Anolis sagrei: one gene and its partner. The protein of the gene in region 1 purifies or fractionates together with the protein of each later gene. This does not show direct contact. Links are inferred from orthologs where the notes say so. Each region holds a gene or a part of one and is shown in the gene's direction. Other genes may lie near its edges. The genes, in order: PPME1 and PPP4R2.

Region 1 (15,997 bases):
GGCACGAGTGATTGGCAACCTCTTAGCAACTTACACGCATATAAGGAGGAAACAAAAACCTCACCTTGGTGTAGAGGCCCGACTACTGCTCAAAGATTCCCTTCCAATGACATTTGCGCTCAGTGGTCTATGATGGGGTGGTGGGGCAAGAAATTGGCTAGCCTCCAGTGTCTCTTTGGCCCCTGAGGCTGGCAATCCAGCACTGAAGCTCACGTCTGTGTTTGGGATGGAGCTGCTGCTATCATAGGTTTCAGACAAAGGTTCCAGAACGACTGATACCTACAAGAGGAGAACATGGAATATTTAATATTCATATAGCATATAGCCGCCCTGAGTCGGCTTCGGGCTGATATGGGCGGGATAGAAATAATGTAAATAAATAATAAATAAAATAGCATATTTTCTGAGTGGGATATGATCTTTTGAGGGACCCTTACAACAACCCAGAGGAAGGTGACTAAAATAACCAAAGGTCTGGAAACCGTGCCCAATGGGGAATGGCTTACAGAGCTTGGGATGTTTAGCCTGCAGAAAAGAAGGTTGAGATGAGACATCAGAGAAGTCATGTTTAAATATATGAAAGGATGTCACGTTGAAGAGGAAACAGGCTAGTTTTCTGCCTCCTTGGAGACTAGGACTCAGAGGAATAGGTTCAAATGACAGAAAAGGGAATTCCACTTGGACATTAGGAAGAACTTCCTGGGCGTAAGAGCTGTTCAAAAGTGGAACTCTGTCTCTGAGTCTCATTGGAGGCTTTTAAGCAGAGGCTGGATGCCCATCTGTCAGGGGTGTTTTAACGTGCTTTTCCTGCATGACAGATTGGGGTTGGACAGGATAGCCTTTGGTGTAGGTCAGTAATATTATCCCCCTATTGCAGACAGCATAAGATAGACACAGCTGTGTGCTGGCTTGCTTGAAGCTTCTGAACTGATGGCACAGGTATTTGCACAGGTGATTTGTAGTTCACATTAAAGGCCACTGTATATAACATCCCTTATATGTGACTGCCACATACCTTTTCTTCTCCTAGATCCTGAATTAAATGTGGAGGAATTACAATCACAATATATTCTGAGCATTGAGCATATCCCTGCTACTAAGAAAAAGCAGCAAAAGTTTTTAAATACCTGCAATTCTCCCATCTTTTCAGATGTTGGTGAAACAATGGTGAAAAACCCACTGATTGGGTGGCTAGGAGAGAGCTGCGCTAGCCCACTGATTTGAACCCGGCCGATTGGAAGGCGATCTGATTTGGTCATGACTTCCAGTATAAGAGCACCCATATCTAGAAGGAACAATAAAATAGCCAGTCACTCTGTGGCCCAACTTACATGTCTGAATGCATCTCCCCTTATGAATTATCTAGGACCTTAAGATCGTCTGAGGAGGCCCTGCTCTGGTTACTATCTTAGTCACAAGTATGTTTGGTGGAGACGAGAGACAGGGCCTTCTCGGTGGTGGCCCCTCGGCTGTGGAACGCCTTCCCTATAGATATTAGATCGGCCACCTCCCTTTTAACATTCCAGAAAAAAAGTCAAGATGTAGCTTTTTGCATGAGCGTTTGCAAATGCAGAGTAACTGACACAGGAAAATGGAACGCCTAGACTAGTGTTTCTCAACCTGGGGGTCGGGACCCCTGAGGGGGTCGCGAAGGGGTGTCAGAAGGGTCGCCAAAGACCATCAGAAAACACAGTATTTTCTGTTGGTCATGGGGGTTCTGAGTGGGAAGTTTGGCCCAATTCTATCATTGATGGGACTTAGAATGCTCCTTGATTGTAGGTGAACTATAAATCCCAGTATCTACAACTCCCAAATGTCAAAGTCTATTTTCCGCAAACCCCATCAGTGTTCACATTTGGGCATATTGAGTATGCATGCCAAGTTTGGTCCAGATCCATCATGGTTTGAGCCCACAGTGCTCTCTGGATGTAGGCGAACTACAACTCCCAAAGTCAAGGTCAATGCCCACCAAACCCTTCCAGTATTTTCTGTTGATCATGGGAGTTCTCTGTGCCAACTTTGTTTCAATTCCATTGTTGGTGGGTTTCACGATGCTCTTTGTTTACATGTTAACTATAAATCCCAGCAACTACAACTCCTAAATGGCAAAATCAATCCCCCCGCCAATCCCACCAGTATTCAAATTTGGGCATACCGGATATTTGTGCCAAATTTGCTCCAGTGAATGAAAATACATCCTGCAGATCATTATTTACATGGCGATTCATAATGTTAGGGTTATGGTTGGGGTCACCACAACATAAGGAACTGTATTAAGGGGTCGAGGAATTAGGAAGGTTGAGAACCACTGGACTAGACACTGAGTCCAGACAACACAGGAGACACTATGAATTTATATTTTATTGATTGTTTAGTTTTTAATAAATGTTATGCTTTTAATTGTATTTATGACATTGTAAGCACTGAATTTTGCCCTGTTAGCTGCCTTGAGTCGCCTACGGGCTGAGAAAGGAAGTATACAAATACAGTAAATAAATAAAGAATATATATATTCTCTTCCATTCCTGTTTAAATTATCAACTCTTCCCACAGTGTAAATAAAAGACTGGTGTGCAGACAGAGAACAAATCATAATGGGAATGTTTGGAATGAGGTGGAAGCAAAAGGAAGAATAGGAAGGATAAACTCAATAAATAAATGAATCACAACCATCAAAATTACCAAGCCACTGGTAATGGGATTGTTTAAAAACCACCAAAGAAGAGAACACAACTCCAAAGCAGCATATTCTACTGTCAAACTGTGAGAAAGTTCAACTTAATTATAAGGATACAATTCCAACGACAAGGCTGGGGAAAATGTTGCAGAAGACACTACAGAGGTGTCATTGATCAGAATACGCAGAGCTGGGCAGCCAATCAGCAAAGCAAATCTTGCAATTTCCTCCAAACTGGACCTCAAGGAAAGTCAGTTTCCTACTTATCACATTTAGTCAATCAAAGGAAGAAACCATGAAAATGAACAAAATCTGGCTACCAGTATTAAAAAACTCAAAAATTACAACAGCAAAACAACAGAGGGGAAACAAACAGGCACATAAAATCACTCTCAACAAAAGATTCCCCCCAGGCACTTCCAAGCCATTGAATGCTAATCAAGGTGATCAGCTGAAACATTCACACCTAGCCCCAGCAGACAAAAGTCCTTTGTATTGTCGAAGGCTTTCATGGCTGGAATCACTAGGTTCTTGTGGGTTTTTTTGGGCTATAGAGCCATGTTCTAGAGGCATTTCTCCTGACGTTTCGCCTGCATCTATGGCAAGCATCCTCAGACCTCACTACCTCTGAGGATGCTTGCCATAGATGCAAGCGAAACGTCAGGAGAAATGCCTCTAGAACATGGCTCTATAGCCCGAAAAAACCCACAAGAACCTAAAAGTCCTTTGTCTCACCCTGGTTATTCCACAGATATATAAACCCATTTTTTCTACTTCCAACAGACCTCACTACCTCTGAAGATGCTTGCCATAGATGCAGGCGAAACGTCAGGAGAAAAATTGCCTCCAGAACATGGCCATATAGCCTGGAAAAACCTACAACAACCCAGCAATTCCTGTCCGTTCTAGTTTTTGCTTTAAGAGTGAATTCCAATCCTAAAGCAAAAAAAATTTAGATACTTAAGCATCAAGGATCCAATCAGTACCTGTCAGGTAGGCGGTAAACTGTTTTGGTCCACACCGAACTGGGTAGCGAGTGGTAGTCTTCAGTGTCTTTTGCTCTGCTTGCGAGGGGTCACGGGGAGTGAAAACAGTGCCATCTGAGGTCTCTCCCCACCACCGCACCCGGATCAGGAAGGAAGATGGTGGCTTGGAAACCATCCATAGGATCTTGCTAACGGTCAGCTTCAGAAAGCAGCGTAGCTGTCCTTCCACGAGAGGCGGCAAGCTTGTCGAAGGGGTAATGTCACTGAGATCTGCGAAAAAGCATTAGAACACAGTTATTTAGACAATGTGAATGATTCATAGGAGCATAGTGCATCAATAGGAGCATAGTATCTAGAGATCTAGGGAAGTCGTGCTCCCCATGCTCTATTCTGCTTTGTTTAGACCACACCTGGAATATTGTGTCCAATTCTGGGCACCACAATTCAAGAGAGATATTGACAAGCTGGAATGTGTCCAGAGGAGGGCGACTAAAATGATCCAGGGTCTGGAGAACAGGCCCTATGAGGAGTGGCTTAAGGATCTGGGCCTGTTTAGACTGAAGAAGAGAAGGCTGAGAGGAGATATGATAGCCATGTATAAATATGTGAGAGGAAGCCACAGGGAGGAGGGAGCAAGCTTCCTTTCTGCTTCCTTGGAGACTAGGACACGGAACAATGGCTTCAAACTACAAGAGAGGAGATTCCATCTAAACATGAGGAAGAACTTCCTGACTGTGAGAGCCGTTCAGCAGTGGAACTCTCTGCCCCGGAGTGTGGTGGAGGCTCCTTCTTTGGAAGCTTTGAAACAGAGGCTGGATGACCATCTGTCAGGGGTGATTTGAATGCAATAAAGCTATCGTCCTCCCAACCCTGCTCTACGCCTGCAAAATGTGGACTGTCTACAGACGTCACATGCAACTCCTGGAACGATTCCATCAGCGCTGCCTCCGGAAAATCCTGCAAATCTCTTTGGAAGACAGGCGGAGAAATGTCAGTGTGCTGGAAGAAGCAAAGACCACCAGCATTGAAGTGATGGTCTTCCACCATCAACTCCGCTGGACCGGCCATGTTGTCCGGATGCCCGACCACCGTCTCCCAAAGCAGTTGTTCTACTTCGAACTTGGAAAACGGAATGTTGGTTGACAGGAAAAGAGATTTAAAGATGGGCTCAAAGCCAACCTTAAAAACTCTGGCATAGACATCGAGAACTGGGAAGCCCTGGTCCTTGAGCGCTCCAGCTGGAGGTCAGCTGTGACCAGCAGTGCTGCACAAATCGAAGAGGTGAGAATAGAGGGCGAAAGAGAGAAATGTGTCAAGTCCTAGACAACTGGGAGGTGTCCAACATGTGATCCAATACAGCAGCCAGCAGAGTGATCTTGTTCACTGTGTACTCATCTTGTTGTGCATCAGATAACAACAGCAACAACAAAACAACAAAGGTGTTAATAAGGTAGTAATAATAATAATAATAATAAAGCTGTGGCATAGACACTGTGAACTGGGAAGCCCTGGCCCTTGAGCGCTCTAGCTGGAGGTCAGCTGTGACCAGCAGTGCTGCAGAATTTGAAGAGGCACGAATGGAGAGCGAAAGAGAGAAACGTACCAAGAGGAAGGCACATCAAGCCAACCCTGACCAGGACCGTCAATCTCAAAAACTGTGGCAATGGGAAGCCCTGGCCCTTGAGTGCTCCAGTTGGAGGTCGGCTGTGACCAGCAGTGCTGCAGAATTCAAAGAGGCACGAATGGAGGGTGAAAGAGAGAAACGTGACATTATAGAATGACACAATGACATATCCATTCTATTCCACGCAGGCTATGGGGTGCATCTACACTGCGGGCTTAACGCGGTTTGATACCGCTTTAACGAAAGCGTCTACCTGAGGGTGGGTGACCGGGACAGTATAGGGATTCTAGTAGTGTACCGTCCACCTCGCTGCACTACAGTCTCCCTACCTGAGCTAGCGGGGGTGGTCTCGAGCCTGGCATTGAAGTCTCAACGGCTTCTTGTGCTGGGAGACTTCAACGTCCATGCCGAGACGACCCTCACAGGCGCGGCTCAGGACTTCATGTCTGCCATGGCAACCATGGGGCTGTCCCAACAAATATCTGGCCCCACCCACTGTGCTGGACACACATTGGATTTGGTTTTCTGTCAGGGATGGGAACAGGGTGGCGGTGTGGAGGAGTTGTCCATCTCTCCGTTGCCATGGACCGACCACTTCCTGATCAGATTTAGGCTCACTGCGCCCCCTAACCTCTGCAAAGGTGGAGGACCCATTAAGATGGTCCGCCCCAGGAGGCTTATGGATCCGAATGGCTTCCTGACGGCTCTTGGGGATTTTCCCGCCACCTCGGTAGGTGACCATGTCGAAGCCTTGGTCGCTCTCTGGAATGGGGAGATGACCAGGGCTATTGACATGATCGCTCCGGAACGTCCCCTCTCAAGTAGCCGAGCTAAACCAGCCCCTTGGTTTACTGAGGAGCTGGCAGCTATGAAGCGAAGGAAGAGGGAACTAGAGAGCGTGTGGCGTTCGGAACCGAGCGAGTCAAACCGAGCACGGTTTGTGTCCTTTCTTAGGGCATATGCCGCGGCAATAAAGACCGCAAAGAAAACTTTCTTTGCGGCCACTATTGCGTCTGCAAAGAACCGTCCGGCGGACCTGTTTCGGATTGTCAGAGGTCTTTTAACTCCCGCCTCTGCAGGTGGGAGCCCTGACAATTCGGTCGCGCGCTGTGAAGCATTTGCTCGGTTCTTCGCAGACAAAGTCGCCTTGATCCGTTCTGGGCTGGACGCCGCGTTAGATGCAGACTCTGTGGATGTAACGAGAGCACCTGCTTGTCCTATTTTGTTGGATTCTTTTCAGTTTGTGAAACCCGAGGATGTGGACAAGATACTTGGAGGAATGAGGCCCACCACGTCCATCCTAGACCCCTGCCCATCCTGGCTTCTGAGAGAGGCCAGAGGGGGATTGGCCGAGTGGGTAACAGTGGTGGTGAATGCCTCCCTTCGGGAAGGCAAGATTCCAGCGAGCCTAAAACAGGCTATTATAAAGCCGCTGTTGAAGAAGCCATCACTGGACCCCACTAAATTGGACAACTTTCGGCCTGTTTCCAATCTCCCCTTTTTGGGCAAAGTCATGGAAAGCGTGGTGGCCTCACAACTCCAGGTATTCTTGAGAGACACGGATTATCTGGATCCGGCACAGTCTGGTTTCAGACCGGGGCATGGTACCGAGACGGTCTTGGTCGCCTTAGTGGATGATCTGCGCCGGGAGCTAGACAGGGGGAGTGTGTCCCTGTTGGTGCTCCTGGACCTCTCAGCGGCCTTCGATACCGTCGACCACGGTATCCTTCTGGGGCGCCTTGCGGAAATGGGTCTTGGAGGCATTGCTTTGCGGTGGCTCCGGTCATTTCTGGAGGGTCGCACCCAGAAGGTGTTATTGGGGGACTCCTGTTCCGCACCACAACCTTTGACTTGTGGGGTGCCACAGGGTTCCATACTGTCCCCCATGCTGTTTAACATCTACATGAAGCCGCTGGGTGAGATCATCCGGAGTTTCGGGGTGCGGTGTCATCTGTACGCAGATGATGTCCAACTCTGTCACTCCTTCCCACCTGCTACTAAGGAGGCTGTCGAGGTCCTGAACCGGTGCCTGGCCGCTGTAACGGTCTGGATGAGGGCGAACAAACTGAAACTAAATCCAGACAAGACAGAGGTACTCCTGGTCAGTCGCAAGGCCGAACGGGATATAGGGTTACAGCCTGTGCTGGACGGGGTCGCACTCCCCTTGAAGGCGCAGGTTCGCAGCTTGGGTGTGACCCTGGACTCATCGTTGAGCCTGGATCCCCAGGTTTCAGCGGTGACCAGGGGAGCATTTGCACAGCTTAGGCTCGTGCGCCAGCTGCGCCCATATCTCGGGAAGTCTGACTTGGCCACGGTGGTACACGCTCTTGTCACATCCCGCCTGGATTACTGCAACGCTCTCTACGTGGGGCTGCCCTTGAAGATGGCCCGGAAGCTTCAGCTGGTCCAGCGTGCGGCAGCCATGTTACTAACTGGAGCGGGTAGCAGGGAGCACACAACGCCCTTGTTGTCCCAGCTTCACTGGCTGCCGATTTGCTACCGGACCCAATTCAAGGTGCTGGTCTTGGCCTACAAAGCCCTAAACGGTTCCGGCCCAAAATACCTTTCGGACCGCATCTTGGCCTACGAGCCCACGAGGACCTTGAGATCGTCTGGGGAGGCCCTTCTCTCGATCCCGCCTGCATCACAGGCACGGCTGGCGGGGACGAGGGAGAGGGCCTTCTCGGTGGTGGCCCCCCGGCTGTGGAACACTCTCCCGGCACACATCAGACAGGCGCCCTCCCTCATGTCCTTTCGAAAAAGCCTTAAGACCTGGCTGTTCGAGAGGGCATTTAATTAAGTGCTAAGCAACAACATTACGGTAATGAGAACTGGAATGGTATAAGGAAGATGAGACTGGCTATGATTCTACTAAGAGACGAAGCGGATTTTTATGTAGTTTGTAGTTTGTATTTGTTGTATAGTCATATGTTGTTGATACTGGCCTCTGTAACTGTCTTTTTATGTGTACTGTACACCGCCATGAGTCGCCCGTAAGGGCTGAGAATGGCGGTCAATAAGTGCATCTAATAAATAAATAAATAATAAATAACTGCCTTTTGCCCCATGGCGAATTGTAACTTCCCCCCGATTCTCACCCTTCCGCTTGCGCCCAGGCCGAGAGGAGAGGGACGGGGAGGAGAAGCCCTTCGCCGCCTTTTTCTTCTGCTTCATCCTTCTTCAACTACTCCCAGGAGGCTTCAACTACGACTAGGCCGCTTCGCGTTGCTTGGCAACGCAGGCCGCGGCTCGCAATGCTTCCTGGGAAACCGGCGGGAGGAAAGCCCGGCTGCGGCCATTCCCCGAACCGCGCATGCGCGAGTCTCTAAGCCGGCTCTTTCTTATCGGCCTCTCAGCCGCAGAGAACTCCATTTCCCGTGCTGCCCTGAACCGCGCATGCGTGTGTCTCTAAGCCGGCTCTTTCTTATCGGCCTCTCAGCCGCAGAGAACTCCATTTCCCGTGCTGCCCTGCGTGCACTTCCGGTCTACGTCAGAGACAGGCCGGGCGTAAAATGAAAGGAGGAGAAAGAAAGGACTCGATGTCCCGTGCTGCTCCGGGGCGGCGCTTCAAGCGAGGAGCAGCGTGCCGGGAGCGCGGGGCACGTCGGGAATTGTAGTCCCGATGCCCTTTTTCGCCGCTTCCGGTGTACGTCAGAGATAGACCCGGCGTAAAATGAAAGGAGGAAAAAGAAAGGACTCGCCATCCCGTGATGCTCCGGGGCGGGGCTTCAAAGGAGGAGCAGTGTGCCGGGAGCGCGGGGCATGCCGGGAGTTGTAGTCCCGGTGCCCTTTCTCGCCGCTTCCTGCCTTCCTGAGGGGTGGCAGCCATGTCGGCGCTGGAGAAGCAGCTGCAGTTGGGCCGCCTCCCGCCCCGAGGACCGGGCCCGGCCGGGATGGGCGCTCAAGGGGCCCCCAAGATGCGCATGGGGTGAGGCCCAAGATCTGGGTGAGGGGTGACGTCACGCGAGGGGAGGGGGCTGCGTGACGTCACGGGGAGGGAGGCAAAGGGTGACGTCATGGTGGGTTTTTTCACCTTTCAAAGGAATTCCACTACAATTACTATTATTGTTATTATTATTATGCATAAGAAGATTGATTAAGTATATGAAGATATTACTACTGGGTTTCTGTGAGTTTGATTAGCATTGCAAAGCCTTGCAGCTTCAAAGCCTGGCTGCTTCCTGCCTGGGGAAACCCTTTGTTGGGAGGTCTTAGCTGGCCCTGATTGGGTCAGGGGAATTCCAGGCAAGAAACAACCAGGGCCATTATTATTGGGTTTCTTTGAGTTTGATTAGCATTGCAAAGCCTTGCAGCTCCAAAGCCTGGCTGCTTCCTGCCTGGGGAAACCCTTTGTTGGGAAGTCTGAGCTGGCCTTGATTGGGTCATAGGAATTCCAGACAAGAAACAACCAGGGCCATTATTATTGGGTTTCTGTGAGTTTGATTAGCATTGGAAAGCCTTGCAGCTTCAAAGCCTGGCTGCTTCCTGCCTGGGGAAACCCTTTGTTGGGAGGTCTTAGCCAGCCCTAACTGGGTCATAGGAATTCCAGACAAGAATCAACCCAAGACCAACTAACAACACCCGACAAAGGATTCCCCCCCCCCCAGGCAGCAATCAGCCAGGCTTTGAAACTGCAAGGCCATTACATGCTAATCAAAGTGGCCAATTGTAACATTGACACCTACCTCAAACAGACAAGAGTTCTTTCTCCCACACTGGACCTTAATCCACAGGTATATAAAGCCCGACAAAGGATTCCCCCAGGCAGCAATCAGCCTGGCTTTGAAACTGCAAGGCCATTAAATGCTAATCGAGGTGGCCAATTGCAACATTCACACCTACCTCAAACAGACAAGAGTTCTTTTTCCCACACTGAACCTTAATCCACTTGCCTAGTTTCCAACAGACCTCAGAGGACAGGGCCTTCTCGGTGGTGGCCCCTCGACTCTGGAACTCTCTCCCGCTGGAGATCAGAACTGCCCCCTCCATTCTGTCGTTCAGAAAATGGGTGAAAACCTGGCTATGGGGTTTGGCTTTCAACGAGTGAATCAATATTTTTGTGATCGGATAGATGACGATGAATGATGGACAACGGATTCACTATGACGACTGACCATTGTTATTATGTGATTGCATTTTGCTGTTATAACGTTTTAATTGAATATGTCATAAGATGTTTTTAATGATTGTTTTGTGATTTTATTGTTGGAAACCGGCCCGAGTCCCCCGATAGAGGGGAGAAGACCGGTATACAAAATTGCTAAATAAAATAAATAAATAGATAAAATAGTTGTGGGCGAAACATCAGGAGAGAATGCTTCTGGAACATGGCTAGTCAGCTCAGAAAAATCACAATAACCCAGTGATTCCGGCCATGAAAGCCTTCGACAACACATTATTACAATTATTGTTGTTGTTATTAAATTGTGGATGCAGTTAAGTATATGAGAATATTATTATTATTATTTAATATGTAAGGTTATTATTATTATTATTATTATTATTATTATTAAGTTGGGGACGCAGTTAAGTATATGAGGATATTTATTTATTTATTTATTTGCAACATTCGTATCCCGCTCATATCAGCCCGAAGGCAACTCAGGGCGGCGTTATTATTATTATTATGATTTATTATTATTATTATTATTATTATTATTACAACATATATAAGGATGCAATTAGGTATTTGAGGATATTAAAATTATTATTAAATATATAAGGATATTATTAAGTTGGGGATGCAATTAGGTATTTGAGGATACTATTATTATTAAATATATAAGGCTAATGTTATTATTATTAAGTTGGGGGATGCAGTTAAGTATATGAGGATATTATTATTATTAAGTATATAAGGATATTATTAAGTTGGGGGTGCAATTAGGTATTTGAGGATATTATTATTATTAAATATATAAAGCTATTATTATTATTAAGTTGGGGGATGCAGTTAAGGATATGAGGATATTATTATTATTACCGGTAAATATATAAGGATATTATTATTAAGTTGGGGATGCAATTACGTATTTGAGGATATTATTATTATTACCGGTAAATATATAAGGATATTATTAAGTTGGAGATGCAGTTAAGGATATGAGGATATTCTTCTTAAGTTTGGGGATGTGCTGGTTAGATTTGCCGGGAATTACAGTCCAACAACCTTTTGTACGGACCTCATACTTTTCATTCTTTCTCCATTCGCAGCTATTTTAAGAAATATAATTGGGATATAATATAATTGGCAGGTCCTTTTTAGCTGTTGGCTGCGTGCGGATGGGGCATCCCTATAATTTGCTCTTGCTTTTGAGGTGCAGTTGTGTATTATCTATAGACTGTCCTGCTTTTCAGCTTGCGTTTCTTCAGTTGCAAGGTGCATCATTCCTTTCCTAGAAAAAGGCTCTTGAATGTAATAATAGTAATTACAATAGGCCCATTGGTATCCAGTGGGGTTGGTTTGGTTTCATCCCCAAATCCAGACCAGGAAAAGCCCTCTGAGTTTATTGAAGACAATTAAATCTGTTTATTGAAGACAATTAAAAAGCAGTAAAAGTAAAAAAGCACTTTAAAGGTATAGGTAAATCCAATTAGGTAGGAAGATAAGCCGGAACAAAATAGTCCAGGGAATTAGTCCATCAAAGTCCACACATATATACACAAATATATACACACATATACTGTCAAGGTCAGACGCCAGCCAATTAAAGAAGTATAGTTTATGGTCCATCATAGTCTTGCTCGCGAGTAGTTCTCCTGCCTTTCCTAATACAACTAGTGTTACTATCACTGCCAGCAGACTCTATCACAACATATACACCCATATATATATAAGCAAACACACATTTATACGCCCATGTATATATAAGCAAGCACACATATATACACAAATATATACATACACACACACACACATATATACACCCACATATATATATGCAAACACATATATACACACATATATACACACATATACACAATATGCATGTATACATATAAACACACAAATATATACACACATATATACACACACACACACACACATATATATATATATATATATACACCCACATATATATATGCAAACACACATATATACACAGATATATACACACAGACACATATACACACACAAAACACATATACGCAGACGGCCACAGCAGGGGATGGCTAATTTATTAATAATAATACTTTATTCATATAATAAAAATGATGATAATAATAATAATAATTTTAAAAACTGGAACGTGGGACAGAACAGAATAGGAGAAGAAGGTAAGGAGCTAGATAGCATTATCTTTACTAGAATTAATGATGCTATTGACAGTGCTTGGCAAAAAGGATTTGGCATTTCCTCTTCCAGACAAACAGACAGACGGAGGCACAGAATAATACATGCAATTAAATGGATGCCTTTCTAGGATTTTTTCTAGGTAAGCAGAAGTTTACCCTGGAATTGCCTGTAGGAGAAAGTCCCCAGTGAGGACATATTTTGTTGTGTGGGAAGATGAAACTGGGAATGCTGGTCTCACCGCTGTGAGAATGAATTGTACTGTCATTATATATAAACTATCCACGTTTCTTCTTTCAGACCTGGAAGGAAACGTGACTATTCCCCGGTCCCGTGGAGCCAGTACTTTGAATCTATGGAGGACGTGGTTGTCGAGAGCGACTCCGGCAAGGATATATCCTTTCCTCTTCTTTAATTGAATTGTCCCTTCTGATTAGATATAACGGTGAAGCTTTGAAGCAGGGGAAGGTAGCAGTCAGGGATTACAGTGTCTTTTAAAACATGTTAATCAGAATAATTTTTCTTTTTTTTTTCTTTTTGCTAATTTTATATGATTTTCTTTTTTTTCTTTTAATCGTGTTTTCTATTAACACACAAAAAGGTTTCATATAATTTAATTAATTTTATAACAATAATTAAAAATAATTTAATAATAAATAACAATAATTGAAATAGTTAATAATATTAATATAAGTTAAATTGTTGTTGTTGTTGGGTAAAGGTTTTCCCTTGACATTAAATCCAGTTGTTGTTGTTGTTGTTGTTGTTGTTGTTGTTGTTATATTTATTTATACCCCACTTTATCTCCCCAAAGGGGAGATAACTTGACATGTGACTTGACATAAAAGTATTAGTATACTTTTATGTATAATAAAGGGTAAAGGTTTTCCCCTGACATTAAGTCCAGTCATGTCTGACTCTGGGGGTTGGTGCGCATCTCTATTTCTAAGCCGAACAGCCAGCGTTGTCCATAGACACCTCCAAGGTCATGTGGTCAGCTTGACTGCATAGAGCGCCGTTGCATGTTTTCAAATTGCCAGGTTGGCAGAAGCTGGTGCTAACAGCGGGAGTTCACCCTGCTCCCCGGATTAGAACCTGCGACCTTTCGGTTAGCAAGTTCAGCAGCTCAGTGGTTTAACCCACTGCACCACCAGGGGCTCCATATATTAGTATATAATATTAATATATAGCAGGAAGCAGTGAGGCTTTGAAGCTGTAAGGCTGGCTGCAACATTCATACTTGCTTCAAGCAGACGAGTTCTTTCTCCCTCCCTGGACATTGCACAGATATATAAACCTCTCTTTCCCAGTTTCCAACAGACCTCACGACCTCTGAGGATGCCTGCCATAGATGTGGGCGAAACATCAGGAGAAAATGATGCTGGAACATGGCCAGACAGCCTGGAAAACTCAGAGCAACCCAGTAATTTCAGCCATGAAAGCCTTTGACAACACATTAATATAGAATTTAAAATATACAGAAATGCAGATATTAAAAAAGAATTAAATACATATAGCACTAAAATATTAATAGTCAAAAACTATAAAAATAGTTTTTAAAGTTAAATTGTTTAATTTAAAAAACAATTAAAATCAATAATAATTTTAATAATAACAATAATATTATTTCTAATAATAATTGAATATTATTAGTTGGAGGTGGTGACGGAGCTGGGGGTGGTGACGGCCAACAGGGAGCTCTGGCGTGGGCTGGTCCATGAGGTCACGAAGAGTCGGAAATGACTGAATGAATGAACAACAACAATAATAATAATCCCTACTCACCACTTCTCACGGCTCAAGAATAAAAAAAACATTAAGGGAATCTTACATATGTAAACTCTACACATTCCAAAGTACAAACAACACAACACACATATTTATTATTATTATTATTATTATTCAACAGGTGTCATAATTGTTTTGATAAGTTATGTACTGCAGGAAGTTTTAAAAATATGTTCTGGTCTTAATGCACCTTAATATAAGTTGAGCATCTTACCTGGAATTCCAATATTTTGAATTTTCCACACTTCAGCCACTTGTGTGGAAAATTCAAAATATTGGAATTCCAGGTAAGAGATGCTCAACTTACCGTATATACTAGAGTATAAGCCAACCCGAATATAAGCCGAGGCACCTAATTTTACCACAAAAAACTGGGAAAACATATTGACTCGAGTATAAGCCGAGGGTGGGAAATGAAGCCACTTGGGGTAAATTTCAATATAGAAATAAATACCAATAACATAGAATCATAGAATCAAAGAGTTGGAAGAGACCTCATGGGCCATCCAGTCCAACCCCATTCTGCCAAGAAGCAGGAATATTGCATTTAAAGCACCCCTGACAGATGGCCATCCAGCCTCTGCTTAAAAGCTTCCAAGAAAGGAGCCTCCACCACACTCCGGGGCAGAGAGTTCCACTGCTGAACGGCTCTCACAGTCAGGAAGTTCTTCCTCATGTTCAGATGGAACATTAATTGAGGCACCAGGAGGTGAAATGTTTTTGAATATTTACATAAAACTGTAATTTGAGACAAGACTGCCCAACTCTGATTAAATCATTATTTTAACTTTCTTCAATGTAAATATACTTGCACATCATTCCAACAATAATAAAGAGAATAAAATAACAAATGTAATAATAATAATAACAATAAAGTAAAATAATGGAAATGCAATAATAACAGTAATAATAGAGCAAAATAATAAATGTAATAATAGAGCAAAATAATCAATAATAAAGTATAATGCAATAATAATAAAGTGGCTGAAGTGTGGAAAATTGAAAATATTGGAATGTAAATGTAATAATATAAAGTAAAATAATACATGAAATAAAAATAATACTAATAACAGAATAAAATAATAAATAACCTTGACTCGAGTATAAGCCGAGGGGAGCTTTTTCAGCATAAAAAGGGGCTGAAAAACTAGGCTTATACTCAAGTAAATACAGTATATTAAGGTATTTATTCATCGTGTCATCAGCAAACATACCATTTTTTTACATTTCTAACAGAACAAAACAGACACACAGATTAAAAACAACAACACAGATTTTGCAAACTTGGTAGTTGGTTAAATGTCCTTTGACCAGTATCTTGCCACTTGGAGTGCCTCTGGTGTTGCCGCAAGAAGGTCCTCCCTTGTGCCTGTGGCAGGGCTCAGGTTGCATTGCAGCAGGTGGTCTGTGGTTTGCTCTTCTCCACACTCGCATGTCGAGGATTCCACCCTGTAGCCCCATTTCTGAAGGTTGGCTCTGCATCTCGTGGTGCCAGAGCGCAGTCTGTTCAGCGCCTTCCAAGTCGCCCAGTCTTCTGTGTGCCCAGGGGGGAGTCTCTCATCTGATATCACCCACGGATTGAGGTGCTGGGTTTGGGCCTGCCACTTTTGGACTCTCGCTTGCTGAGG
Region 2 (16,175 bases), on another chromosome or scaffold:
GTCAGAAAATTCTAGTTATGTCACTGAACTACAAATGTCAGGATTCCTTAGGATCAAGTCATGAAAAAGTGGCACAATACTAATATAAAGGTATACTGAAGACAAACATTATACTGAACACATACTTTTCCTGTGAGGAAGGATTTCCGCATAATAAAATACTTGATTTCAGCCTCAGTCAAGTTCAGAAGAAGATCTGACCTCCTCAAAGTAGCCAAGGAGATTCAGTCTCGACAGGAATTGTAACACTACTAGTTATGAATCCTGTTCATGTACAGAAAATTATGGCATATAGTCCATAAAACCTAGAGAAAAGTGAACCTACTTACATGAAATCAAGAATGTTGTTTTTCTTGAAGAGCAACTTTTAATTGCCTTTGCTCAAAGCATGTTGGGCAATTTCTACATACTACGCCTATCTCTTCCTTTGGTCTTTCAAATACTCTTATTGCAGTAGTCTCCCTCACCTCAATACTGGATTTTCAATACGCTAATATCTCTTCTCTGCTAAATTCTCACCAAAACTAGACCTACTAGGCTGGATCAAGCAGATCCTTGACTGGTTAATGTTATGTCACACTTCTTTTGTCCCCTGGACAGCAATTGTTTCCTGTCCTTATTGGACATTACCAAGGCATAATATAATATGCACAGCCACCAGGAAAAATGTTAAAAGATGGATGAGCCTTGTCAGTTATTCCATGGAATGACAAATTGGCTCTGCTGTTCTGAAAATTGGAAAGGAGGAGGAAACGGCTCTCTCTGCCTCTTTTTCCCCCCAGCAGCCTGCTGTGACTAGAATGCTATGATAATAGCCCATAGCAGCAAAGAAAGGCTTTTGTCTGGAGGTGTGTGTTAAATCTAATTGTATTCAGAAAATTCAGAAAATTTTAAAGATACATTAATACTTTAAAGGCCATTGATTTGTTAGTGTTTTTACATTTCCTCCTACTGTGTAAGAGAGAAAGGAATGGCAGATAGGGGAAAAGCACCCCAAAATAGAAGAATGAAAAAAGAGCTGGTGTTTGACACTGGGTGCATCTGCACTGTAGAAGGAATGCAGTTTGACACCACTTTACTGCAATAGCTCAATCCTATCGAATCCTGGGATTTTTATAGTTGTGTGAGGCACTTTGGTGAGCATGCTTTGGTAGGAAAGTCTCAAGACTTTGTAAAACTACAATTCCCTGGATTCAAATAGCATAGAGCCCCCAGTGTGACTTGTAAAAGCAGATAAAATATTTAGTATATATTTTTACAATTTATTTTACCAGCATGGAATCCAGGATGAATATATCAAAGTAATCAGACAGTTATAGTTTGATGCCACCCCTGCAAAAATAGTATCCAATCTTTATGCCAAAAGATTGGTGGTTCGAATCCGAGGAGCAGGGTGAGCTCCCTTTGGTCAGCACCAGCTTCTCATGTGGGGACATGAGAGAAGCCTCCCACAGCACAGTAAAACATCTCGGCATCCCCTGGGCAACGTCTTTGGAGATGGCTGATCTCACACTAGAAATGACTTGCAGTTTCTCAAGTCATTCCTGACATGAAAAAACAGCATTGAGCAATGGCAGTTAATGTAGTGTTGAACTGCATTTGTTCTACAGTGTAAACATAAAGTAAAGGTTTCCCCTGACATTAAGTCTAGCTGAGTCCAACTCTGGGTGTTGGTGCTCATCTCCATTTTTAAGCCGAAGAGCCGGTGTGGTCCATAGGCACCTCCAAGGTGATGTGAGCAGCATGACTGCATGGAGTGTTGCACCTTCCCGCAGAAGCGGTACCTATTGATCTCACATTTACATGTTTTTGAATTTCTAGGTTGGCAGAAGCTGGACCTAACAACTGGAGCTCACCCCACTCCCCAATACATGTGTCCAATTCCAGTACTCAAACAACTTTCCAAGTAAAGCTTTCCAAATATGTCATGTTGGTGACACACTTTTTAGAAACGTATCATTTCACAACACAGTAATTCAGTTTTACTAGCAAAACAGAGGTTAAACCAAGTCCTTTTAGATTAGGGCTACATACATAAATTATATTAACAAAACGAATGAGGACACATTTATCCAATTACTGGTTCGCATCCTGATCCAGATTTCTTGAGATGGGTATAAATCCTGTTATTTATTTGAAATTTAAAAATACTCCTCAAGATCCAAAGAACAATAAACTCCCCAGGTCACAAGTGGTTTATTTTATTTTATGTGGCTGGAGGAACAGTAGCTTAGGGTGCACCTACACTATCAAATAAATGCAGTTTGACACCACTTTAACTGCCATGGCTCAATGTTATGGAATCCTGGAAACTATAGTTTTAGAAGGTCTTTCTCCTCTGCCTCACCAAACTACAAATCCCAGCATCCCATAGCATTGAATCAAGGCAGTTAAACTGGTGTCAGAGTGCTTTAATTTTGATAGTATAAATCAGGCATGGGCAAACTTTGACCCTCCAGGCATTTTGGACTTCAACTCTCACATTTCCTAACAGTTAATAAACTAGTTGGGATTTCTGGGGGTTGAAGTCTAAAACACGTGGAGGGTCGAAGTGTGCCCATGCCTGGTGTAGATGAACCTTCTGGCTCTTATCTTGCAACTGACTATCAGTTCTTCCAGTGAGAAGTCAGATTTGTGATTATATTGATCAGTACATTTGGATCTTCAAGTAGTTTTCCAGCTTTCCACTTTCTCTACAGTGAACCAAATTCGTGCATTTTGAGTATTATTAAAGTGCATCCTCAGTGAAGTATTAGTGACACCTTTTCTTTCTAATAAGATGTAACCAATACAAACAAAGAACATAGTATACTATAGAGATTGTCCTGTCGAAGGCTTTCATGGCTGGAATCACTGGGCTGCTGTGAGTTTTCCGGGATGTATGGCCATGTTCTGGAAGCATTCTCTCCTGAAGTTTTACCCACATCTATGGCAGGCATCCTCAGAGGTTGTGAGGTCCCAACCTTTGAGGATGTCTGCCATAGATGTAGGCTAAACGTCAAGAGAGAATGCTTCTGGAACATGGCCATACAGCCTGGAAAACTCACAGCAACCCACTATAGAGATTGTACTATAATTTTGCCCCACAACTGATGCATGGGTTTGCAATCCCTGTCTTTTCCAACTCTATGAATTAATGTATTGTCGAAGGCTTTCATGGCCGGAATCACTCAGTTCTTGTGGGTTTTTTCGGGCTATATGGCCATGTTCTAGAGGCATTTCTCCTGACGTTTCGCCTGCATCTATGGCAAGCATCCTCAGAGGTGAGGTGACCTCACTTCTGAGGATGCTTGCCATAGAGGCAGGCGAAGCGTCAGGAGAAATGCCTCTAGAACATGGCCATATAGCCCAAAAAAACCCACAAGAACTCTATGAATTAAGTTTGTAGTCTACTTTTCTCCCTTTATTCTTAAGATAAATGTTTTCCCCGGCGAATAAAACATCCCAGTGAAAATTATACCCAAAATCAAAAGAAAAGAGGTAGGTTTCAAGATGGTGCTTGAAAGTGGTAATTTATTATGTGGAGATTGCACAGCGTGCTTGGAGCAAAGACAGTCAAGAGCTACTGTTCAAGGAGACTTTTAAGCTTTGAAAAATGTAGCTCCCAGTTCTGTGAATGCTGAATATTCAAACAACTTCAAAGTGAAATATTTGAGCTCTAACCAGACGGTCAGCCACACAGAAGGAGAAAGATTGGGGAAATCACAGTATTACAACTAGATTTTTTTTTAAGCTGACATCATTGAAAGGAAAACACATAGAAGAACTGTATTTGTAATATTGTTGTTAAGCCATGAAAAACCGACTCTTCTAAGCTGAAGCAACTTTTCATACTCAAATAGAGGTCTCTGTCTCTAAAGGCTGTTCTAAATCAAGGGTGAAAAGCTGAATAAGAAAAGGGCAGTCAAAGTTGTCTACTAATCTAATAAATGTATTCCAACAAACTATATCTTCTGTCTGTGCTTAAGGAGATTTTTCATTTATTTTATTTACATTATTATTATTCTGCTTTTCTCTGGACAATAAATGTAAAACTATGCAAATTAAAAAACAAAACGCTTAAGAAGTAGAAACTTGCCATGCTAGGCATGTGGTCACTAGGAATATTGGCTGCTTGTTGTCCATTTCAATGGCCAAGAGAACGTTATCATTCATGTATCGAGCGAGAGCTGTATTATAAGAAAATATTAATTTGATCTAAAAAGTGCATTAATTATACTATGTAACAAAATGTGAAAAAATATGTTCCTGGTTTGAAAGTGTTATTTCCTGTTTAATTGTGTGGTACTTCCTTTGAAAGTAGTTGTTATACTCCAGAAACTTTGTTTCTGTGGCTGCCACAAACTATGTTGAATTGGTTGAGACTCAAGTTTCATGATAGAACCAATTAGGAAATGACATTTATGACCCAGGAACAAAAAACCTGTTACATAGTGTTATGGTTTAAACTTGCGACTCAGTGAGTCCTTAAATATGCATGTACAGAAGTTGATTATAAATTGTATGATTTTAACTGTATTTGTGTTTAGATTGGCTGCAGTAATGCTGGAGCGGCCTAAGTCAGAGGAGTGCGTTGCCATGGAGACGATGCTGTAGAGAGAGAAGTGGGAGGAGCTTAGAGGGGAGAGTTTGAAAAACGACAGTTAATGTTCAGTTAGAGTTTAGGTTCAGAGGAGTGAACAGTCATGAGTTAGAGTTTTAGGTTCCGAGGAGTGAGGAGTTAGGGTTTTGGAGTCGGAGTTAGCAGTTGAGAGAGAGAGAGTGGGAAGTAGAGAAGCAGTGTTTGTGAATAGTCAGAGGTTTTTTCAGTTTAGGAAAGCTGAAGGGGAAACCTAATTAGTTTCATTAGTTAGAGAGGACTAAGGGAAGCTTGTTTAGATCACTAGTTAGAAATGAACTAGAGATCTGGGGTTTGATCACGGAAGGATCAAACAGGAAGGCTATTCACCTCAGGAAACATTGTTTAAGAAAGTGCTTCACCACAGTAAAAGTCAATTACAAGTTGTAACATCCAGAAGTGTGAACTGTATTGCAACCAAGTTACATGTAAAGTTCTCAAAGTATTTCCAAGTTTATCAACAGCCTGCAACCATACGCTTTGTTCAAAATAAACTTGTTCTCTTTTGTTTGAAGACTGCCTCATCTCCATTAATTCTGCGTCCAGTGTGCCATATCTCCCAGTAATACCTCACATCACACATTGGTGGCACCATTAAGAGTAATAAATAATAAATCGTCCCTCCTCTCTCCTAATTCGTTACAATGCAAAATAATAATACAGTCAACTCTCAGTTAATCAGAACTCAAGCAATCAGAAATCTCAAGCAACCAGCAAAACATCCCCCAAATAAATAATACTGGATTCAATGTTTTGTTGAAGGCTTTCATGGCCGGAATCACTTGGTTGTTGTAGGTTTTTATGGCCATGTTCTAGAGGCATTCTCTCCTGACGTTTCACCTGCATCTATGGCAAGCATCCTCAAATGCCAAGCCTTCAAATGCTAATCAAGGTGGTCAGTTGAAACATTCACACCTAGCTCCAATAGATAAGAGTTCTTTGTCCCACCCTGGTCATTCCAGATATATAAACCCACTTTCCTAGTTCCAACAAACCTCACTACCTGTGAGGATGCTTGCCATAGATGCAGGCAAAACGTCAGGAGAGAACACCTCTAGAACATGGCCATATAGCCCGAAAAAAACTACAACCACCCAATACTGGATTCGTAAAGCTTTTTGTTTATAATATGGTCAAACAGTGTTACACTGTCTTTATTTGCTTTTAATTGTTGTATTTCATAAGGATATCAAGTCAATACTGAGTTTATGGATAGCAGGCATGGGCAAACTTTGATCCTCCAGGTGTTTTGGACTTCAACTCCCACAATTTCTAACAGCGGGTCCAAAACACCTGGAGGGCTCAAGTTTGCCCATGCCTGGGGTATAGTATTAGTTATGTCTATTTTTAATAGTAATAGTAGCTCTCAAGCAGCAATAAACTACCTTTATCCGGCATTTACCAGTCCCCATAGGTAACAGTTAAATGAGAGTCTCTTATTGTATTCAGATTGAATATTAACCATCGCCCCTGCAAGTCACCTCTGGTGTGAGAGAATTGGCCGTCTGTAGAGACGTTGCCCAGGGAACGCCTGGATGTGTTACCATCCTGTGGGAAGCTTCTCTCATGTCCCCTCATGGGAAGCTGGAGCTGACAGACGGGAGCTCACCCCGTCTTGTGGATTCAAATCACTGAACTGCTGACCAGTTCCAGCTGAACTGGTCAGCAGTTCAGCTGGAACAAGGGTTTAACCCATTGTGCCATCGCGGCTTCTGAAGTTGCTTCTGACACAATTAAAAAAAGAAACGATTTGCCCAAGACATTTGGTATTGACAAGTGGATTTTTATATTAAACAAAGATGATTTAATTATAAAGATATTTAATCTGCTGTCAAGCTCTAGTTTCTGTAGCTGTCATTCAAAAGATAATGCACTGTGTAAACGTGGGAAAACTTGATTCTTACAAAAGAGAGGTGATAGTGATTAAATATGTGTATATATTTTTTAAACATTTATTACGGTCAATGACCAGCATCAAAAAGGTACAAGTGACAGGGTGTGCAAATGTCAGAGTACGCACACATGTACAAGCACATGTACATAAATATACAGACATCAGGTTACACACACATCCAGGTATTAAGAAACAATGTTAATATGTATATATTATATCACTGCATAACTGACCGTGGGCTTCACGTGTTCAGCCTAAAAAAAAACCCAACCCTTTACTTAAAACATATCAGGCTAAAAGTCCGCATTATCACAGGGTGTCTGCGCCCTACACCACTGGAGAAATTACACTGCTTAGCCGGTATTGCACCACCTGACATCCGCCGGGAAGTAGCAGCCAATAGTGAAAGGACTAAGGCAGTGACATCTCCAGCTCATCCCCTGTTTGGGTATCAGCCAGCACGTCAACGACTTAAATCTAGAAATAGTTTTCTAAGATCTACAAAGACACTCGCTGGAACACCTCAGCAAGCGAGAGTCCAAAAGTGGCAGGCTCAAACCCAGAACCTCAACCAATGGCTGACACCAAAAGAGAGACTCCCCCTGGAAAGAAATAAACGAATAAATCCTTCTGGAAAGAAATAAACGAAGCTTGTGAACTGATCCTTAAGAGAAAAATACAGAGAAAAGCAGAGTACTACCTTTTGGGAATCTTCGAAGAAGATTGGGACCTGGATGTAAACAGTTATTTGTTGCTGACCTACTTAACAACGGCAGCAAGAATTGTGTTCGCCAGACACTGGAAGTCCAAGGAAATCCCTTCTAAAGAAGAGTGGTTGGAGAAAGTACGAGACATATGAGAGATGGATGTATTGACCTACACACTAAAAGATTCATATGGGCGACCACTGAAGAGAACGAATTGGAAACCCTTCGAGGAATTCTCAGAAATGAGCTAGCCCGGAAAAGGTAAGGAAAAGAGAAGAACCAGAAATAAGAAGGAATAAAAAATTTAGCAATACAAGGGAGGAACTACGTAAAGAGCCACCTAGAAAGGAACTCAAAATTTTAAGACATGGAGCAAGAAGACTGGGAAGTCGGAACATCCTTCCAAATGTTATATTCCCCCCCCCCCCCCGTTGTATTCCCTCCCCCAACTTACCCGGCACACCTTAACCCAACCCCGCATGCTCCCCCAACTTAGAATGATCCCACCACCAGGGCCACCTTCCCCCCCTCCCTTATCCCTCCCATTTTTCCCGGCCCATCGTACCTTGTTGTCTTTTCTAAGAGATTTTTATGCTCACTCTTCCCCCAAACTTTGGTATATTTTGGAATATTTCTAATAAAAATCATTTATAAAAGAAAAAAGAAAAAAAAGAGAGGGACTCCCCCCCTGGGCACACAGAGGACTGGGAGGCTCGGAAGGCGCTGAACAGACTGCGCTCTGGCACCACGAGATGCAGAGCCAACCTTCAGAAATGGGGCTACAAAGTGGAATCCTCGACATGCGAGTGTGGAAAGGAGCAAACCACTGACCACCTGCTGCAATGCAACCTGAGCCCTGCTACATGCACAATGGAGGACGTTCTTGCAGCAACACCAGAAGCACTCCCAGTGGCCAGATACTGGTCAAAGGACATTTAATCAACCATCAAACACACACATTCTGTATTTTGTCTGTTTGTTTTGTTAGAAATGTAATATAATTTGACTGGTTGTCCTGACATGACAAATAAATAAATAAAGGCTAAAAGTGATATTAGATTTCTTTTCTGATAAAATAAAATACTTTATTAGTGGTACTAGCCGTTCCCTGCCATGAGTTGCTGTGTATGTTTTGTGTGTGTATATATTTGTGTATATATGTGGTTTTGTGCATGCATTGTAATTTTTTTTTTGCTTTTTAAGTCTCTTCTGCTGTGTTTTTCAGTGTTTTTTATGAGTGATGGTCACCCGTTGGCCTGATAGGTGTCCTGTGTCCAAATTTGGTGTCAATTCGCCCAGTGGTTTCTGAGTTATGTTAATCCCACAAATGAACATTACCGGCTGTTAGGAATGGTGGGAGTTTAAGTCCAAAACACCTGGAGGGCCCAAGTTTGCCCATGTCTGATCAACAATGTAGAATTAATGCAGTTTGATACCACTTTATCTGCCATGGCATCTTAGGAGTCATAATTGAGTGAGGCATCAGGAGTCTTTGGCAGAGAAGGACTCCCAGGATTGCACAGCATTAGGCCATGACAGTTAAAAGTGGTGCCAAACTGCATTAAACGTACAGTGTAGATGCACTCATGCTTACTTGCCACAATTATATCAAAGTTGCTGTCAAAATATCTAACTTTTTGCTCAAATGTATGTTGAAAGGCGTCGACAGTCTCACCTCATGGGCTCCCTCAAAACATACACCTTCTCTCTTCTCTCTCCTCAGACTGAATGAAGAAAGGAAGAAACCTGGCTTTCAGTCGAAGCGTGACGTCACCGGGAGTGGGCGGGACTTAAAAAAGAGAAGGCATCTCCTCTCGAATCCAGTTTCCACCGAAGCGTGACGTCACCCGAAGTGGGCGGAGCAGAGAGAAAAAGTCAGTTTGAAAAAAAAAAAAAAGAAGGAAGACTTCTCTCGGCCAATCCCAACTCGAGCTATTCCTTCAGGCTTTCAATCATTCTCGGGCTGTGACGTCACCACCTTCTCCTCGCGCGCCTCTGCGTGCCGGCGGGAAGAGGCGAAGCTTGTTTTTTTTCGCGGTGTGGTGTGCGTGCGTGCTTGCGTGCGTGCGCGCGCAGCAAGCGGCGGCGGCGGCGCGCACGGCGGCGGCTTGGGCGCCATGTTGGAAGGTTGCTGAGCCCGGCCGCCGGGGGTTTTGCCTCTCTCTCTGTGTCTCTCTCTTTTTGAGTGTGTGTTTCCTCTCTCTTTCCTTTCTCTTGGGAGTCTTTCGCCTCTCGGTCGTTCCCCTCTCTCTTTCTCGCTCTCGGAGTGGCTGAGGCTGAAGAAATATCTCCCCTGTGCTGCTTCTGGAGGCCTGTTCCTTGTGTGAGGGCCCGAGGGGCAGGAGGAGGAGGAGGAGGAGGAAGAGGTAGCTGCGGACCATGGATGTTGAGAGGCTGCAGGAGGCACTGAAAGGTGTGTGAGAGGGTTGTGGGGGTTGGTTGGCTCTGGGGAGAGGGTTCCAGGTTACCTTGAGGTCATACGGAAAGGGAAGAGGACACTGCCCTCAGGAATGGGGGACACGAGGCCTGGGCTTCGCTTTGGTGTACTTGGGAGATCCCATCAATCCCTATTATTATTATAGATTGAGCATCCCTTATCTGACTAGCTGAGGGTGCATCTACGCCAGTCATGGGCCAAGTTGGGCCTTCCAGGTGTTTTGGACTTCAACTCCCACAATTCCTAACAGCCTCAGGCTGTTAGGAATTGTGGGAGTTGAAGTCCAAACACCGGAAGGGCCCAACTTAGCCCATACTTGACCTACACAATAGAAGGAATGCAGCCTGACACCATTTTAACTGCCATGGTTCAAGGCTGTGGAATCCTGGGAGTTGTAGTTTGGCAAGGCCTTTAGCCTTCTCTTTCAAAGACTGCTGCTGCCTCACTAGACTACAACTCCTACCATGCCAATCTGTGGAATCCTGGGAGTTGTAGTTTGGCAAGGCCTTCTCTGTCAAAGACTGCTGGTGCCTCACTACACTACAACTCCTTCCATGCCAATCTGTGCTTTAGTTCCACATCGTAGATGGCTCAAGGATGTGGAGTCATGGGAGGTATAGTTTTGTAAGGTGGTTAAGCCTTCCCTGCTGAAAAATGTTTCTGCTGCCTCACAAAAGTACACATCTCAAGATACAGTTTGAAACCACAAAGCTTAACAAGCAGTTTGACTCCACTTGAAATTGCCATGGCTCATTACTATGGAATCATGGGAGGCCGAAGATCTTGTGAAACGACACCTTCCATAGTGGGTTGTTGTAGGTTTTCTGGGCTATATGGCCATGTTCTAGAGGCATTTTTTCTTGATGTTTCGCCTGCATCTATGGCAAGCACCCTCTGAGGATGCTTGCATAGAATCATAGAATCAAAGAGTTGGAAGAGACCTCATGGGCTATCCAGTCCAACCCCCTGCCAAAAAGCAGGAATATTGCATTCAAATCACCCCTGCAGGCGAAACGTCAGGAGAAAATGCCTCTAGAACATGGCCATATAGCACGGAAAAACCTACAACAACCCAGTGATTCCGGCCATGAAAGCCTTCGACAATACACCTTCCATAGTGTTGAGCCATGGCAATTTCAAGTGGAGTCGAACTGTATGTTGAGATTTGTGGTTTAGTGAGGCACCAAAAACACTCTTCAGCAGGGAAGGCCTTACAAAACTACACCTCCATGATTCCATAGGATTGAGACATAACAATTTCAAGTGGAGTCGAACTGTATCTTGAGATTTGTGGTTTAGTGAGGCACCAAAAACACTCTTCGGCAGGGAAGGCTTAAAGGCCTTACAAAACTACACCTCCCATGATTCCATAGTATCGAGCCATGGCAATTTCAAGTGGAGTCGAACTGTATCTTGAGATTTGTGGTTTAGTGAGGCACCAAAAACACTCTTCGGCAGGGAAGGCTTAAAGGCCTTACAAAACTACACCTCCATTATTCCATAGGATTGAGCTGTGGCAATTTCACAAGATCTTCTGCCTTCTTTGTCAGAGAGTGTTACCAAGATACAATTCCCACTATTCCATAGCATTGCACTATTGCAGTTGAAATGGTGTCAGTGTATGCACTCTGAGATCCTGAAACTTTTGCCAGCCCACGAATCTCAAGATACAGTTTGACCCCACTTGAAAATGCCGTGGATCAATGTTATGGAATCATGGAAGGTGTCGTTTCACAAGATCTTCAGCATTCTCTGCCAAAGAGTGTTGGTGCCTCACCAAACTACAACTCCCATGATTCCATAGCTTTGCACCATGGCAGTTGAAATGGTGTCAGACTGCACTGATTCCACAGTGTATGCTCTCTGAGATCCTGACACCTTTGCTTTCTGAGGGTACAATACACACAAATGTTGTTTTCTTCACAAAAATTGGGTATAACATTGCATTCAGGCTATGTCTAAAAGCTGTATATGAAACAGCGATGAATTGTGCCTTGGCTGCATCTCCAAGACATCTCATTCTGTGCATGTATGCAAATGTATTTCAAAATGGGGGTGGGGGGGGGGGGGTCCAGAATATAAAACATTCTTGGTCCCAAGGGTTTTGGATAAGGAATACTCCCAGTCAGTATTGTTAATGTAGCGTTTTATCTCCAACATTGGGATTTATAGTGGCTCACAATTTAAAAGAACAACACAGCTAAAACGTACAAAAAGTAAATATTACAATAGAATGGCATCCTTTTTTGTTAAAGGGAAGACACCTTTCTTGTTTACTGCTTGGGAGAAATGGAAGCCATTCCTTCCCTCCCCCTGCTTTCAAGCCATTTTTGGAGAAGGTAGTCATACAGCTCCCAAGTGGTTTCCCCTTCCAGCCGATTTTCATACCCCTTCCTTAAAAAAGTTTTTTTGGGCCTTTTATTCAACATTATCTCTTTTATCTGTTACATGACTATACACTCTTCTAATCTTCATTTCCTTAACTTTCTAGCATTTCTGGCAACCTTTACCTCACGTGTATCCTCCCCTTCCCACCCACTCCAAGAAATCACTGGATTACATTGGCTGTATTTGCTTTCCTACCCATAGTCTAGCTAGTATTAGAAACTAGCTTTGAAAGAGAAGTTGAATAACAGCCGTTCAGATACTAAAATATATTTGATGTTCCTTCAGAGGCCTGTTAAGGAGCATGCCTGAGTGTGTTTACATATCCATGTTAGTGTGTGCTTTCCATTTAGAATGCAAGATATTTCGAAGGTGAATATGGTGTCTAACAAAGGAGTGTGTACTTTTAATAGTTATTTTCTTCTTTTTCTGTCCTCTTTGTAGATTTTGAAAAAAGGGGGAAGAAGGAAGTGTGCCCAATACTGGATCAATTTCTTTGTCATGTTGCCAAGACTGGAGAGACAATGTGAGTGAGTTTAATTGATTTCTAGTTTCTTTCTATGCTCTTGGATGAGTCAGAAAGAAAGTTAGCAACTGAATGCCTTTTATGTGTTGATCCTTGAAAGGTACCTACATTCCAAATGAATAGCTACACAGTATAAGTGTTTCTCAAGTTTTGCTAATTAGGTAACTTTCTTTTAGACTTAAAAAGCTGTTCATCAAAGATTGAGCAGTATCGTTCTGAGTGCCTTTGATTCTTTCTAGTGTTTCTTGTTAACTTCAATACATTCTTTTGAATGCAATAAACCTAATGCTGTCTCTATTTTACACAGTGTTCCTGCTTTAATAGGCAAAACATGGACAGACTGTGTGTTTTGCAATCTGTTTTCAGAGTTGTGAATTAACATGGATTCCTATTAACGAGTATAAAAAGTGGAATGGTATTAGACTTATTACACAAAGATGGACACATTTTTCTTTTCTTAACTTACAAATTAGCACATTACATTTTCAGAGAAATGTAGTTCTGCAAAATTTATTTAGTAGCATTGAATAAATATGTCCAAATTTTAAAGTATATCAATTATGGGATTGATATCAATTAGTTATGGGGACTGCTCATAACACAGCCTTTCTGTGTGTACATACTTCTTGACGCAAAAATAAACCCCATATAGAGATGTGCTTAAGTACCAAATTCTCTTGGGGTGTAGAATGAGTACAGTCTGACACCACTTGAACTACAATGCCTCGATGCTATGGAATCCTGGGAGTATTAGTTTGGTGAGGAACCAGCACTCTTTCGCAGAGAGTGTTAAATGTCTTGTAGATCTACAACTCCCATGATTCCATAGCATTGATCCATGCCAATTCAAAGGGTGTCAAACTGCACTCATTTTACAGTGTAGGTGCACCGTAGGTCTTTTTCAACCTCATTTTAGATACAGGGAATTAATGAGAAGAGTAACTCTCTCAAAGCATATTCATTTGGGGGGTTGATTTTGCTTCTTCATATCACTTTGCCTAGTTATAACATAATCAGGAAGTACATCATAATTCATCACGTATGGACAATGGCATCTGAAATGTATAAAAACAAGAGACCAAGAATAGACTCGGATGACTAACCGGGCCCAGGGTTCTTATTTTGGGTTAGAAGCCTCTTACTTCATCTGGGATTTCAGGTAGTGCTCATTTAAATGGGTGTTGCTGGACTGAGATGCCAATGCCAACCAAATGTTTCCTTTTTCTAAATATGATAACATACCTCTTTCCTATTCATTTACATTTGTCTACGCAACCAGTAAGTGATTATATTCTTTCTTTTTTAAAAAATAATCTTCATTGAAATTTTCTATAACATGATTAAAATTAAAATAAAAAAGTAAAGAAAACGAGAGAAAATAATAATAAAAAGAAAAAGTGATTATTTTCTTGGTGGTCCCATTCTCTCCCGATGAGAGCACACACATTGCTATATCATAACCTGCACCTTGGTCCTGTCTTCTGACCCTGCTCACTCCATAAATTTGTAGTAGTGAGTGTGATTTTGGTTTGCCACCACTTCAATAAAAATAATAGTAAAGAAAAGTAGACTATTATAAATTACCATATTTGGCAGAGTGTATCCAACTGTTTTAGTATGCCAAGCACTGACAAATTGGCAGGAAGGCAGTAATGTTCACAGATACTGAGAAGTCAAGCGTTTGTCACAAATTACTATCTATAATTCAGCACAGGACATAATAGAGGCACTTAGAATAGTTCGGTTGTGCTAAAGACGTCACGGAAGAAGTGAAATTTTTCGGAGCGGATTTAAAGACAGTAAGAGGCATGGCATCACAGGTGGAAAGCAAGGTAAAGTGTTGAATTCTTGGAGAGAGAACTATTTTCAGAGAACGGAATATGGTGTAGCTGAAGGAAGGGATGTATTGGATGTAAGAACAAAGAGATTGGGTGGTGAGCTTTTGCTTGATTTGATAGCAAAAGAGATGTCCAAGTAGAAATGTAAGGGGAGTATTGTGGCCACTGACAAAAAGGGTGCAGGGATAAAGGTGAGACAATGGAGTATGAGTGAGAACAGTATTGGAGACATGGGAAGCTGCTTTATACTGAGTTGATCTATTGGTTCATCTCAGTGTTGTTTGCCATAGTGACTGGTAGTGACTTTCCAGAGTTTGAGAAGGAAGGCTTACCATGTTCTGCATAAAGGTGGCAGAGTTTAATCTGGGACAACTGATATGAAGCTTAAGTATATTAACACAGTGTTTATTTGTTCATTACATTTTTTCTCAGCTTTCCTCTAGTGGCCTCAAGTTACAGCAGTCAGGACAAGGAAATACATAAATACACGTGCTTGTATATCTAGATTGTATTTTTCTGATGTTGCTCTGACTTCCTTATTGCCTTACCACTTAGCAGAAAACCCTGTAGTGTGTAAATATTGTGTGTGTGTGTGTGTGTGTGTGTTTTGTTTGCTCCCAAGCTGGCATAGTGGGGGAGAGTAATGTTAACTTGTGCTTTGGGGAAAATACTTATTTCAGTGAACTCCACCTTACAAAGTACAACTGTTTTTTTTATCATTGGACACTAGAATTAAAAGAAAAAAGAAGCCCTGAAATCTTGTTTATTCTTAGAAACAAAAGGTCAGTTCAGTAAGAACAGAGTTTTCTTCCAGTTTTCCTTAATACCAATATATGATCAACATAATTACATTTTAGATCCTAGTAACAGTTTATTTCTTGCATAAGTCTAAATTTGTTTAATAGATATATTTAAAGATCTAGAATGGTAGAGTTTGGAAAGTTTTGAGCCTAGGTCTATAAAGCAAAAATCATGATGCCACAGCTGTTCTAAAAACGTGTATGTGTGTATTCTGTGGATTGACTTTTATGTTCTTTATCATAACAGTCTACTCCTTTAAGTGCTATAAATCTTAGGACTTCATCACACTAGAGCAGTGGTTCTAAACCTGTGGGTCCCCAGGTGTTTGGGACCCACAGGTTGAGAACCACTGCACTAGAACATTTATCCACTTTAAATCCGTTTGCAGAATTTTGGGGTTTGTAGTTAAGGGTGTGGCCTTTGAACTTCACACCCCAGTCAACTACAAACCTCAGAATTCTGCAGGAGGAAGCAACTGGATTTAAAGTGGATAGGTGCTCTAGTGTGATGAAGTACTTGTTGTTGCTTTAATACCAGGATTGATCCTCAGTATTTTTGGCTTTTGAAAATGCATGTTTAATATTTAACGGTTTGGAATTTTAAAATTCTACTACCATGTAATATTTAATAACAGTTTAATAACTGTGAACACATTGATTTAAAGTAGGAATTATTAAAGTGGTCCCCGTAGGCTGCATTTGGACTCCCAAGGTTATTTCTACAAATTTCAAGGTGCCTTTAGATCACCTGTTTTTCTGCCCCTCCCTTCCAAAAAGAGTGTGCCACTTGTCTTGGAGACCTCCAGAAGTGTTGTGTCACCTTTTACACATGCTGCACCCCTTCACATTGTTAACATTAAAAAAACCCAATTTTTTTCAAAATCAGAAGGGGATTTTTGGCAACCTGGTGGGGGCAGAGTCATTTTTGGCAGCTCATGTGGTTGCCAAAGAGTTGCAAGGGCCGGAAATT

Evidence for each region.
Region 2: the proteins of PPME1 (region 1) and PPP4R2 purify together in Homo sapiens (affinity purification with mass spectrometry; 3 studies listed by BioGRID and IntAct, counting the BioPlex papers as one, with this or other methods). This does not show direct contact. The link is inferred for Anolis sagrei from reciprocal best matches to the Homo sapiens genes PPME1 and PPP4R2.

The regions. Positions count from the first base shown.
Region 1 is NC_090023.1:5,506,607-5,522,603, reverse strand, and holds the start of PPME1 (protein phosphatase methylesterase 1), read left to right. Parts: upstream 1-9,071; 5' UTR 9,072-9,114; coding exon 9,115-9,215; intron 9,216-12,881; coding exon 12,882-12,976; intron 12,977-15,997. Other genes in the region: C2CD3 (C2 domain-containing protein 3), read right to left, coding at 65-279, 1,128-1,285, 3,664-3,933, 8,386-8,461. UniProt on the Homo sapiens protein: Demethylates proteins that have been reversibly carboxymethylated. Demethylates PPP2CB (in vitro) and PPP2CA. Binding to PPP2CA displaces the manganese ion and inactivates the enzyme.
Region 2 is NC_090022.1:40,794,044-40,810,218, forward strand, and holds the start of PPP4R2 (serine/threonine-protein phosphatase 4 regulatory subunit 2), read left to right. Parts: upstream 1-9,300; 5' UTR 9,301-9,598; coding exon 9,599-9,632; intron 9,633-12,485; coding exon 12,486-12,567; intron 12,568-16,175. UniProt on the Homo sapiens protein: Regulatory subunit of serine/threonine-protein phosphatase 4 (PP4). May regulate the activity of PPP4C at centrosomal microtubule organizing centers.